Canis lupus familiaris: one gene and its partners. The main gene of each other region encodes a partner of the protein of the gene in region 3 in a complex. Links are inferred from orthologs where the notes say so. Each region holds a gene or a part of one and is shown on either strand. Other genes may lie near its edges.

Region 1 (3,741 bases), on a different chromosome or scaffold from region 3:
CTCCCCTCGGCTTCTGACAGGAGTCCCAGGAGACCAGGCTGTACCCAGGGGAAGTTCTATGCCCACTGCCAGCAGCACGGCGGAGACTGGGGTGGGAGACCCCGAGGGAGGACAGGGCGCCCCCACCTGCGCCTGCGGGGCCTCCAGGGTCCAGGTCGCTGAACTCCGGTGCGGAGGCGCTGCCTAAACCAGGGGCTGCAATGCTCCCCCTCCCCGCTTGTGGGGCCTCTGGGGCAGGGCAGCCCAGGGCTGAGATCCAGCGCTTTCGGGTGTTCTCCTCCCAGGAGACCCGCGCTCCTGCGGCCTGGGGGGGACCGGGGGGCGGGTGCTGGGTGGTCGGGGGGGGCCGCCTCCCCGCGCGGCGCTGGCGCACAGGGCGCCCTTGCCGCAAAGCAGATTCTCTTCCAAACTTCTCCCCTGGCTCCGGAGGGGGTGGGGAAGCGGGGCGCAGCCACAGCCAGGCTCGGGGCGCCGCGGGAGTCCCCCAGGCTTGGGCCCGCTCCCGCTGCCGCCGCACCCCGTGGCTTTGCGGGCGGGCGAGGTGCCGAGCGGCCCTGGGGCGGGGGCGCGGGGGGGCGGGGAGGGGAGGGGCGCGAGGGGCAGGGAGGGGCGCGAGGGCAGGAGCCCCGACCGCAGCGGGAGCGAGGAAGGGGCCGCGCGGGGCCGCTTCAGCACCGAGTCCGCGGACAGCGCCCGCCCGGGGCCGGGGTGCGGGCGGGGCGGCGGGGGTGTGGGGGGTGTAGGGGGCGCTGGGGGGCCTCCCGGGGCCGGGGTGCGGGCGGGGCGACCCGGGGGCGGGGGCGGGGGCGGGGGCGGGGGCGGGGGCCGGGGGCGCTGGGGGCTCCGCCGGGCCGGGCCGGGCGCGGCGCGGGGAGCGGGGGCCTTGCCGGGGGCCTTGCCGGGGGCCGCGGGGTGCGCGGCGCGGGGGGAGCGCGGTTACCTTCCCGGGCCGGGCGCGGCGGGCGTGCGGTCAGCGGCGGGGCGCGCTCGGGCCGGCGGGGTCCATGTGGCGCCGGGAATGCGGCGGCGGCTGAAGGGCACGGCGAGGAGGGCGCGTCACGTGGAGGCGCACCCGCCCCCCCCGCCCGCGCCGAGCGTCACGGCGGGGGCGGGGCCGGCGGGGGCGGGGCCGGCGGGGCGCGGGGCGGGACCACGGAGCCGCCCCCGCCCGTCCCGGAGGCCCGTCCGCCCCGCCCCGCCCCGCGCTGGGAAGGGGCTCCCGCCGCGCCCACGGGGTCCCGACCCGGGCGAGGCCCCTGCGCGCCGCCCGCGACCCCGCGCCGCTCCCGGGCCCCGGCGCCCCAGGGCGGGACGAGGGCGCCCCCGACTCCGGGCCCCGCTCGCCCCGCGGAGGGAGCCGCCCGCCGCCGCCGTATTTCTCAGAGCGGGAGCGCGCGACGGGGACGGCTCCGCGGGTCTGGGGGCGGGGCCAGCGGGCGGGGGCGGGGCCAGCGGGGCGGGGGCGGGGCCGGCGGGGCGGGGGCGGGGCCGGCGGGGCGGGGGCGGGGCCGGCGGGGCGGGGCGGGGCGGGGCGGCGGGTGGCGCAGGGCGGCGGCCCCCGCGGGCAGGGACGCCTGAAGGTCGCTGCGGACGCTCCGCCCCGCGGCCCCGCCCCCGCCGCCCCCTCCCCCGGCCTCCGGGATTTCCCCGCCGCCGAGCCGCACTGCGGGGAGCGCAGGGTCGCCGCAAGGTCGAGGCCAACGGCCAGAGCCGCCCCCGCCGGCCGCGCCGGCCCCGGGACGCACCTCCCAGGACACACTGGCCTGGCTGCAGCCTCCCTGGATCCCAGGCCCCGGTTCCGGCCCCCACATCCTCGCTTGTCCTGCTGACGGGTCCTGCCCCGCGGATCTGGGCCAGCGGGTGAGGGAGGTGCTGCCCAAAGGGGAGCCGAGGGCTGCACCGAGCCCCTGAGCTGCCTGCCCCGGCTGACCCCCGGGGTCCCATCGCATCACTGCCCCCTTCTCCAGACACCGGTTAGAGCCCCCGCCTCAAGCGCGTCTGGGGACAGGTGTTCTGTGCTCGGCTGTTCCAGGTGTGCGAGGGCCTTGAGGGCCTGCTCAGCCTTGGCCCTTCCGGTGCCCCCCAACCTGGGTGTGGATGCTGGAGGGAGCGGTCCGCCCAGGAAGCAGAGAAGTCGCTGCTCCCCGCTCCAGGCTCTCCCCTCCACCCCTGCCACCAATGGGCCTGGGGGTGCAACACACGGAGCGGTGACCTCAGCTGAGTCCAGAGCAGGCCCCATGACCCAGGACCCCGGGACCTTCATGAGCCACCTGCAGGGCAACACCCAGCTGACCCTAGGGCAGTGTCAGGGCGGCACAGGCTCATAGGAGGGAGGAACACAGAGGCCCCCAGCTCAGTGGGGACCCCACAGCCCCACTGACTCCACAGTCTGGGGCTGGCTGAGCGCCACACACAGAGCCCTGAGCCCGGGGTCCAGGGGTGCTGCCCGGCCCCCAAACTCCCCCATCCCTGTATGCGGTCGCCTTCTCTGGCCCTGTCCTTGCCTGTCCTGCACTCACCGCCCACACGGAGACCCCCATCCGTTCTCACAGGTGCCCAGGCCCCGGACCAGGTCTCCGACTCTCCCAGTGGAAACAGACAAGGCCAGTGACAGTCCCAGATCAGAGTGACTGGTGCCCCACGCCAGGACAGGGAGGCCGGGCAGCTGGGCAGCCCAGGGAGGGCCAGCTCTGGGCAGGTGGCCAGGACGTGAGGTGACACAGCTGCACACCACCCACCTGCCGGGTCTGCCTCTGTGGACGGGGTGGGGGGTGGGGGGGGCAATGCTGCCTTGGTAGTTGTGTCGCCGTCAGGGCCTGGAAGACCTGCAGCAGCCACGGGGAGGCAGGAGCGAGTAGCTGGGGGAGACCCGGCTGTGAGTTCAGAGGCACCCAGAGGAGGCCACAGTCCCAGGGTGTGTCCTGGGTCGGGGTACAGAGAAGGGTTCCAGGAAGCGGAAGGGAGGGGCCATGCAGCGTGGGGGGCGCCCTAGCTGGGCCCTCCACCTGCTCCAGGGATGGCCCTCCAGGCCGGGAACCCCGATCCAAGGCACGAAGACCATATGATGCTGGGTTGCAGGCCCCGGGCATCCAGAGTCCCCTCTGCGCCCCCACGCAGTCCTGCAGATGGCAGAGGCCGCTGAGCTCAGCCTCCCGGAGGCCCCTCCTGGAGGCCCCCCGGGGTGCCCCTTAGCTCCCTCCAGGGAGGCCCAGCCCCTGCCAGTCCCATCTGGCCCCCGCGCCGCAGGGCACGTCCTGCTCCGGCTCCCACAGGCGTTCCCCCAGTCGGCCTTTGGCGTTGGGGTGGGGTCTGCCAGGGGCGCGGACCCCCGGGGGGCTGGGACGGACTTCGGTGCACCGGGGATTGCCCAGAAACTTCAAATGCAAGTGGATGCTGGGGTCCCCCTGCTGTTGGACCCCGTGAGGCCTTGGGAGGTCGTGGCAGGAGTCGTGGAGGCGAAGTGGCACGGCGGGTGTCACTCATCAGGGCCTCGTGTGCCTCCCGACACCACGGCCCCTTCCCCGCTCCCTGGGCCGCGCTGGCCGTGGGGCAGCCGCTGGGAGCGCGTCCCTGGGGCTCCGGGAACCGGGCGGGCGGTGCTGCGCTGCTCAGACCCGGCCCCACCCCGCGTGCTGGGCCACACTGCGCCCCGCCGGGGTCTGGCGATGACATGCACTTTCCACGGGTGCCCTGCCCCCACCGACAGGGGACCCCGTGTCTCACAGTCACCAGGAGGGCGGC
Region 2 (3,092 bases), on a different chromosome or scaffold from region 3:
GCCTGGAGGGTACTTCCCTGGGGCTGTACTTGGCCAAACCTGGCTGCAGAGACAGCTTGTGTGGAGGAAGTGTGGGGAGGGGCTCCTAGGCCAGTGCCCAGGGCAGGGCACAAATGACAGCTGCCTCCTACGAATACATCCTACAGGGCAGGGCTGGTGCTGGGTACTTCTTACATTTAACCATCATGTGGACCCAGGGAAGGTGGAATGAGTGACCCCCATTCTGAAAGATTTGCTCAGGGCACAGGGTATATGGGGGCAGGGATGCGAACCAGCCTGAGGCCGAGCCTGAGCGAGCTCTTACACGCAGCCAGTGGGAGCAGGGGTGGTGGTGGGGCTCAGACACTCCATGTGGCGGAGGGCACGGTGGCTGGAGACCCCAGGAAATGTGGAACCCTGGAAGACTCCAGCTCCCTGCCCCCAGCAGTTCCCCACCCCCTCGCCCACCACTCACCCCTGTCTTGCCAAACAGCCCTCAAAAGGGGTGGTGTGGACACGCAAACTATGGTTCAAATCATGACACTGGGAGTCAGAAAGATCTGGAATCCAGCCATGTGACCTTGAATAAGGGTCCCTGTGTCTTAGCCTCAGTGTCATCATCTGTACAACAGGTGACAGTGGTGTTGACCTCGAGGGATGCAGCAAAAACTCAAAGTGTGCTCTCCCTCACTGGCACCAAGTAAGTGAGAAGCTGGATAAACTCAAAAGCTACAGACACTGGGCAGGTGACACCTGGGACAGGAGCACATCGGCGAGAACAAGCATTTCCTGCCCACAGCTGACAGGCAGGTGCTGGACATGAGGGAGGGCTCACCCCTATTAAGGGATCTAGTGATAAACATGGTGCACCACGGTGGTCACTGGGAGGTGGGGGACGCTCTGGGTGGTCCGACTGGGCCCCAGCTCACCTTGGCATTGAGCATGTCAATGCAGAAGTGACAGAGGGCCGCCTTGAAGAAGTAGTCCTTGGCGCTGTACTTGAGGAGGGGGCTGTCCATGGCATTGGTCCCCACCTGTGGAGGTGCGGTGGTGGCACTATAAGCTTGGGCAGGCAGCCAGAGAGCCAGGGTCACTGAGAGGCACCGGGGGGCCGGCTGGGAGCCTCATCTGTGTCCCGGATGAAGCCCCATCAACCCGGGACCCGAAGGGCAGGGAGGCCAAGGGCCAGCCCCAGGAAGTCAGCCGGTGGTGTGTGGGTAGCCAAAGACCAGGGTATGGCAGGGGGCGAGTGCTGTCACAGGGCCAAAGCCCGGTGTCGGTGGGCTCCCCCCACCCCCTGAGATGGTGGGGAGGAGGCGGCCCCGCTGTCAGGCCCTACAGGAGGCTGGCACGTCGGTGGGCAGAGGGGCGGCAGGCTGCGGGAACATGAGAGGTGGCACCCGCCCCCTACTCCTCCGGGGCCAGCTGCCTGCCTTTCTCTTGGCCAAGCTGAACCCACCAGGACCGCCCAGCCTTCCCCACACAGCCCAGGGGAGCCTGCGCCCCCACGTGATGCTCCCTCCCTGTCACTCCCATGGTGTGTGAAGGACGAGCTTTCTGACCCCTCCCTGTGGGCTCCTCAGCTCCCTCTGGCTACCCCAGGCCTTAAGGATTCTCTTCCCACTCCCTCTGGGCCCCCAGGCCCCCCCAGGAAGCTTTCTGTGAGAAGCATACAGGGAGAGGGTGGGGACTCCCTGTGGGGTTGTGGGTGGTGAACTGTTTAGCCAGTGAGGACAAGGGGAGTGCCAGGATGGTGATGGAGGGGAGGGGAGAGGTGGCCAGGGGGAGGGAGGGAGCACTGTGCAGATGATGGGACATCAGGAAAGGGCAAATGGGGTGCAGGGCCCTCCCCCAGAGCCCTGGCTGTCCCCACCTGCTCATAAATGTCAATGGCCTTCTGATACTGCTCCAGCTGTGCGGCATAGCCAGCCACCTTCAGCAGGCACTTATTGGCTGAGCTGTAAGGGTGGGCGGAGGAGACAGAGGTCAGTGGTGGCTGGCCTGGGGGCTAAGGGGTGGGGTGGGGTGGGTATAGGGAAGGGGGAAGGGTGCCCACAGCCGGTACCTGTTGGACTCCTCTCCTTTGTAGTAGTCTGCAGACTGCTCATAGTGGGCGATGGCCTGGGGAGACACGGGGAGAGGCAGGGCGTGAGGAGGTGGCAATGTGACCTTGATCCACCATAGGGCCGGCCCTGCCTGGGCCACAGCAGGAGCCCTCTACCCAAGTTCTGTCGGTGCGCCACACCCCCTTTCTGGTACTCAGACACCAGAGGATGCCTCAGGTGGAGAGAGCAGACAGACAAGCCCCAGTCTGAGGAGACAGGCTGCTGCAGTCCTCCCCCACTGTCAGCCAGGCAGGGCCACCGACTGCCACTCACCTTCTCGATGTCCACCAGCTCCGTCTCATAGATCTCAGCAATGGAGATGTGGTGCTTGGCCGCGATCGTGAACCGGCCCTGGGTGGGACACAGGAAGGGGTCCTTTTTGATGGAGTAATGTTCCCAGCGTCCCACTTGCCCCTCCTTGTTCTTCTGGGCCCCCAAAACCAGTGGGTTCCTGCACCTCAGTCACACAAATGAGGCATGTACAAGAGGGTACCGGGAGACTGAGGGGCACAGGCCTCCAATGGGAGGCTTCACTGAGCCCTGATGGGGTGACCTTGTCACACCCCTCCACATTCAGCCTCCGGGTTTCTCCTGTCCACAGGGATACAGGTTGACGAGGCAATGCCAGAGGTAATGGGGCCCAGGTACCAGGCAGAGGGCCTGGCCTGGGGACAGATGGCCCAGAGAGGGGGAAAGACCAGCCTAGAATCACCTGTAAACACTCTGGAGAAACCAGGCTGACAGCCCAGGCATCCCTACTGCGGAGGGGACAGCCTTCCTAAGCCTCCCCTTGCCCCCAATGTGGCCATGGAGGCCGCCCCACTGACAGGCCAACCCCCAGCTTCCCCCATTGACACGATGGCTCTCCCCAAGGAAGCCTCTAGCTCTCTAGCTTCCAGAGGGGCTGAGCCCCCCAGCCTCCACCCGGTGGGCGTCCAGGCGCCAGGCTGCCCACTCGGCACGCAGGGCTGCTCCACAGCCCCTGCCCCTGCCGAGGGACATCAGGAA
Region 3 (3,741 bases):
GGGTAGGAGGAAGGATCTGCTAAATCCAAGGGAAGGAAAAGAGGAAGAGGGACTATTGCATAGCAGATGCAAATGAAGGGATTCAGGGCTGGTCAGGAAGAGACAGAAGGGGAAGGAGGAAAAGAGAAAAGAGATGGGAACCTCAGGAAGGGGTGTTAAGGACAACCGGAAAAATCTTCTAGTAATAAAACTACAAACAGACCAAATATATATAATATTATATATGTATAAATAACAGCTGGCTATTTACAGGGGTGCACACACACGGGGACACACACACGCGGATCCAGGGGAGGGGGCTGGAAGATATGGCTGAGAGGTGGAGGAGCTGCTGGGGATGGGGTGGGGGGAGATGGGGAGAGGCCCTTCTCTGGGCAGGGCGGGCTCCTCAGGGGTTTAAGAGCTGAAGTAAACTGTAGAGAGGGAAAGAGAAGGAAGGAGAGAGGGGGAGAAAGAAAGAGAGAGAAAGCAGTGTATCAGGCCTGGCCCTGCTCCCAGCCTCCCCACTCCCCAGCCCTCTTGGCCTTAGGTTCTCCATCTGTAAAGCAACAGACTGGGCTGGTAGGTTCCAAGGTCTCTACAACTCCACAGTATGGCCTTGGGGCCACAGACTCCAATCATCTATCTGTGTGTCTGGCCCACAAGCTCTCAAACAGTAGGGTGTTTGGCTTCCTAGCCATGTCTCAAGCCCCTGGGCCTCACCTGCTCTCCCACTTCCCAATTCCAGGGTTCCCAGACTAGGTTTAGGCCCAAAAAGGATCCTCAAGGGAGCAGTGCTGATCCACCAGCTTTCCTGTTTCCAAAAATCTTAACAAGAATTGCCTAGAACCAAACAAAGTGCAGCAAGGTTTGGGGCTCTAGATGAATCAGAGCTGCACTGCCAGCTATATATACTTTCTGCTGAATAGTACAAACTAGGTTAATGACCTTCAAGACCTAGAAGGGGAAACCCCTCCAGAGAAAGGGCCCTAGCCAATCCTGCCCTACTCACCGATGATGATGATGAGGATGATGGCGCAAATCACTCCCAAGATGATCATCATCTGGGGGCGAGAAAGGGGGGAGGGTCAGTGATACAGACCGTGACACCCTCGTCACCCACCAGTTCTCATGCCAGCCCTCTTGCGTGCCTCCACCCTTACCTTGAGGTTTTTCCACCAGTATTTGCGCTTGAGCTTGGCTGCGCTTGTTTCAAACTGGGAGGCCCCTGCCTGGAGTGCATCTGCACGGTCGTCCAGCTCGGACAGCTTCTGGTCCCGCTCCAGGACCTTGTCCACATTCACCCTCATGATGTCCACCACCTGAAGGAGGGGCCCACGAGGCAGGGGGTGTGCCAAGGCCGCCTCAGTGAGGGCACAGTCCTCAACCATGCACCCACAGAGTGAACATGCACCCCGATGCTGCCCGGCTAACATGCCAAGGACACACAGAGAACATCCCTAGCACACCTGGGGACATGTAAGGAGCACACATCAGGGGCATGCTGACAGCCAGACAAGACATCTCAGATGTCAGAGCAGCACCCTCTAAGCAGCCTGTGCGTCGCCAGACCACACCTGCCGGGACCCAAACTCCCCAGCCCATCAAGGTTGACTAACACCCCAGGCCGTTCCAAATGCAAGCTGAGCTGGGCAGGGGCAGGGTACGTCTTTGTCCCTAAACTCATAAACTCAGCATCTCCAACACAGGATGCCCCCTCCCCACCGGTGCCAACCGTCGGGGTCCTTCCCGCCGCCTGACACCCCCCACACTCACCTCATCCACCTGGGCCTGGGTCTGCTGCAGTCTCCTGTTACTGGTGAGGTTTGGAGGGGGCGCCGGGGGGCCTCCCTCCCCAGCCGGGGCGGCAGGGGGGGCGGTGGCAGCGGTAGCCGACCTGAGGGGCAGGGACGGAGTAAGACCCGAGGCCTGGAGCCGCCGGCCCCGCGGCCAGGGCTCCGCCCATCCTCCTGTCCATCCATCCGTCCCTCCCTTTCTCCTTCCCCGGAGGAAGGCCACCGAGGGGAGCCCTGCGCGGCGTCCGGCCCCACGGCCGCCCAGCTGCGTGACCTTGAGTCAGGCCCCCTCCCCCCTCCTGAGGGGGCCTCAGTTTCCCCGTCCGTCAAATGAGGGCGACCTCCAAGACAAGGTGCGGGGTCGACCCGCAATGACGGGCGGCGGCGAGGCCAGGGGCGGCGGACGGCGGGCCCGCTCCCTCCCGCGGCCTCCGCCCGCGCGGCCAGCCCGGGACGCGGCGCTCTCTGCAGCCGCCCGCGCGCAGTCACGGGCGCCGGCCTGGCCTCGGGGCGCCGGCCGAACCCCGGGCGCTCCCCGGACCGGCTCCCAAGGGCGGCGGCCGGCGCGGGCAGGCCCGGTGCGGGCGCGGGCGGCCGACTCACATGGCGGGGGCGGCAGGCGGACGGCTCGGCGGCGGCGGCGGCGGCGGCGGCGGCGGCGGCGGCGGCTCGCGCTGGCTCCGACTGGCGCTGGCTGCCCGGGACGGGAAGATGGCGGCCGCACGTCACCCACATCCGGGCACTGCGGGCGGGGGCGGGGCGCGGCGGGCGCGGGGCGGTGGGGGCGGGGCGCGGCGGGGCGGCCCCCCACCTGCCGCAGCTTGGGGAGCCGCGATCCCCGCGCATCCGGCCGCAGCCCTCACGGCAGCCCCACGCCTCTCCGTCCCCCGCCTCCGGCCTCGAGGGTGCCCGTGAGCCCCAGGCTACGTCCGCCCGCACCCGCGAAACCCGCAAACCAGTGCGCACCCCCCACACACCGCGAGGCCTCGGCCTGCGCGCTGGCGACCGGCTCCAGCGTTTGCAGCCGGCTGGGTGGGCCGTGGGAAGGGGCAGGTGCAGGTTGCCGGGCCCCCTGCTGCTGCGGTGGGCCAGCGGCGGCGGGAGCTGGGGCCCTCCCCCCCCCTCCGCCAGCCCTGCAGGTGGACAGCTCAGGGGAGGCCTGGCGGGCTTGGGGCCCCGGCCGCTGAGTTCGGCTGTGAAGGAAAGCAGAAGAGGCAGGCCGCCCCCGCCCCCACCAAGCCACTGCAGGGTGTGTGAGCTCCTCACAACCCAACCGGGGCGCAGACCAGAGGTGCTTGACCGAGGTAGGGCAAGGTTAAGGCCGACGGAGGAGGGCACTAGGCTGTCCCATGCGGCTGCTTCACGTGGTGGCCGTGGTGGCTGCGGACCCGGCCAAAACCCAGCTCTGCCCCAGAGTTGGGGCCGCTCCCAGGTAACAGAGGAGAGCTCAGCTTCTGATCCCAGACTGCGACAGAAAGGGGGTTTTGGGGGTTTTCTCTTCGTTCTGTTTTTCTTCTTCAAGGGGAAAGACAGTAGGCAAGGGCTGCCTACCCCCTGCAGTAGCCAGGTACAAGGTACTACTTTACATGTGCATTAGCCTCATAGGTGTGACCTTGGCCAGTTCCTGTCCTATCTCTGGACTCCACGTGTATTACAACTGTAGGCACTAACACATGTTCAGTGGTTTGATCCGGAACCTGGTAGGAAAGGATTATCCACTCCCCCTCCATCCCTGACTGGTCTCTCTTTAGATCTTTTAAACAGCAGCTCCACACACTCAGTCCTCTCATCCCCAGCAGGCCTGGCTCTTCAGGGACAAGATGGGACCAGATGAGCCACCTATCTTGTGAGGTCGGTCAAAGCAAGCCTCAAAAATGAAGAAGGAGGTGTCTTAGTGGAGGCATCATGGCTCTGGGGCAGGGGTGCTCCTTCCATACCTGGAAGGGGAGCAGAGGGAGGCTGGTGG

The links.
Region 1: the proteins of VAMP2 (region 3) and CPLX1 are in contact, whole or in part, in a crystal structure (PDB 1KIL), measured with the Rattus norvegicus proteins. The link is inferred for Canis lupus familiaris from reciprocal best matches to the Homo sapiens genes VAMP2 and CPLX1. Residues at the interface, in NP_036795.1 of Rattus norvegicus: Arg47, Val50, Asp51, Leu54, Asp57, Gln58, Ser61, Asp64, Asp65, Asp68, Ala69, Gln76; in NP_074055.1 of Rattus norvegicus: Leu41, Arg48, Tyr52, Glu56, Arg59, Glu60, Met62, Arg63, Ile66, Arg67, Tyr70, Gly71, Ile72.
Region 2: the proteins of VAMP2 (region 3) and NAPA are in contact, whole or in part, in a cryo-EM structure (PDB 3J97), measured with the Rattus norvegicus proteins. The link is inferred for Canis lupus familiaris from reciprocal best matches to the Homo sapiens genes VAMP2 and NAPA. Residues at the interface, in NP_036795.1 of Rattus norvegicus: Gln36, Ala37, Asp40, Glu41, Val43, Arg47, Val50, Asp51, Leu54, Glu55, Gln58, Lys59, Arg66; in NP_542152.1 of Rattus norvegicus: Arg116, Thr118, Lys122, Ser157, Ser159, Ser160, Lys163, Leu197, Tyr200, Ser201, Lys203, Arg239, Ser268, Ile269, Arg271.

What each region holds. Positions count from the first base shown.
Region 1 is NC_049224.1:92,242,669-92,246,409, reverse strand, and holds the start of CPLX1 (complexin-1), read right to left. Parts: upstream 2,635-3,741; 5' UTR 2,520-2,634; intron 1,081-2,519; exon of another isoform or gene 941-1,080; intron 267-940; exon of another isoform or gene 127-266; intron 1-126. UniProt on the Homo sapiens protein: Positively regulates a late step in exocytosis of various cytoplasmic vesicles, such as synaptic vesicles and other secretory vesicles.
Region 2 is NC_049222.1:109,234,104-109,237,195, reverse strand, and holds part of NAPA (alpha-soluble NSF attachment protein), read right to left. Parts: intron 2,436-3,092; coding exon 2,358-2,435; intron 2,101-2,357; coding exon 2,045-2,100; intron 1,938-2,044; coding exon 1,853-1,937; intron 1,014-1,852; coding exon 909-1,013; intron 1-908. UniProt on the Homo sapiens protein: Required for vesicular transport between the endoplasmic reticulum and the Golgi apparatus. Together with GNA12 promotes CDH5 localization to plasma membrane.
Region 3 is NC_049226.1:33,181,027-33,184,767, forward strand, and holds the start of VAMP2 (vesicle-associated membrane protein 2), read right to left. Parts: upstream 2,425-3,741; 5' UTR 2,381-2,424; coding exon 2,379-2,380; intron 1,877-2,378; coding exon 1,756-1,876; intron 1,302-1,755; coding exon 1,143-1,301; intron 1,044-1,142; coding exon 992-1,043; intron 414-991; coding exon 397-413; 3' UTR 1-396. UniProt on the Homo sapiens protein: Involved in the targeting and/or fusion of transport vesicles to their target membrane. Major SNARE protein of synaptic vesicles which mediates fusion of synaptic vesicles to release neurotransmitters.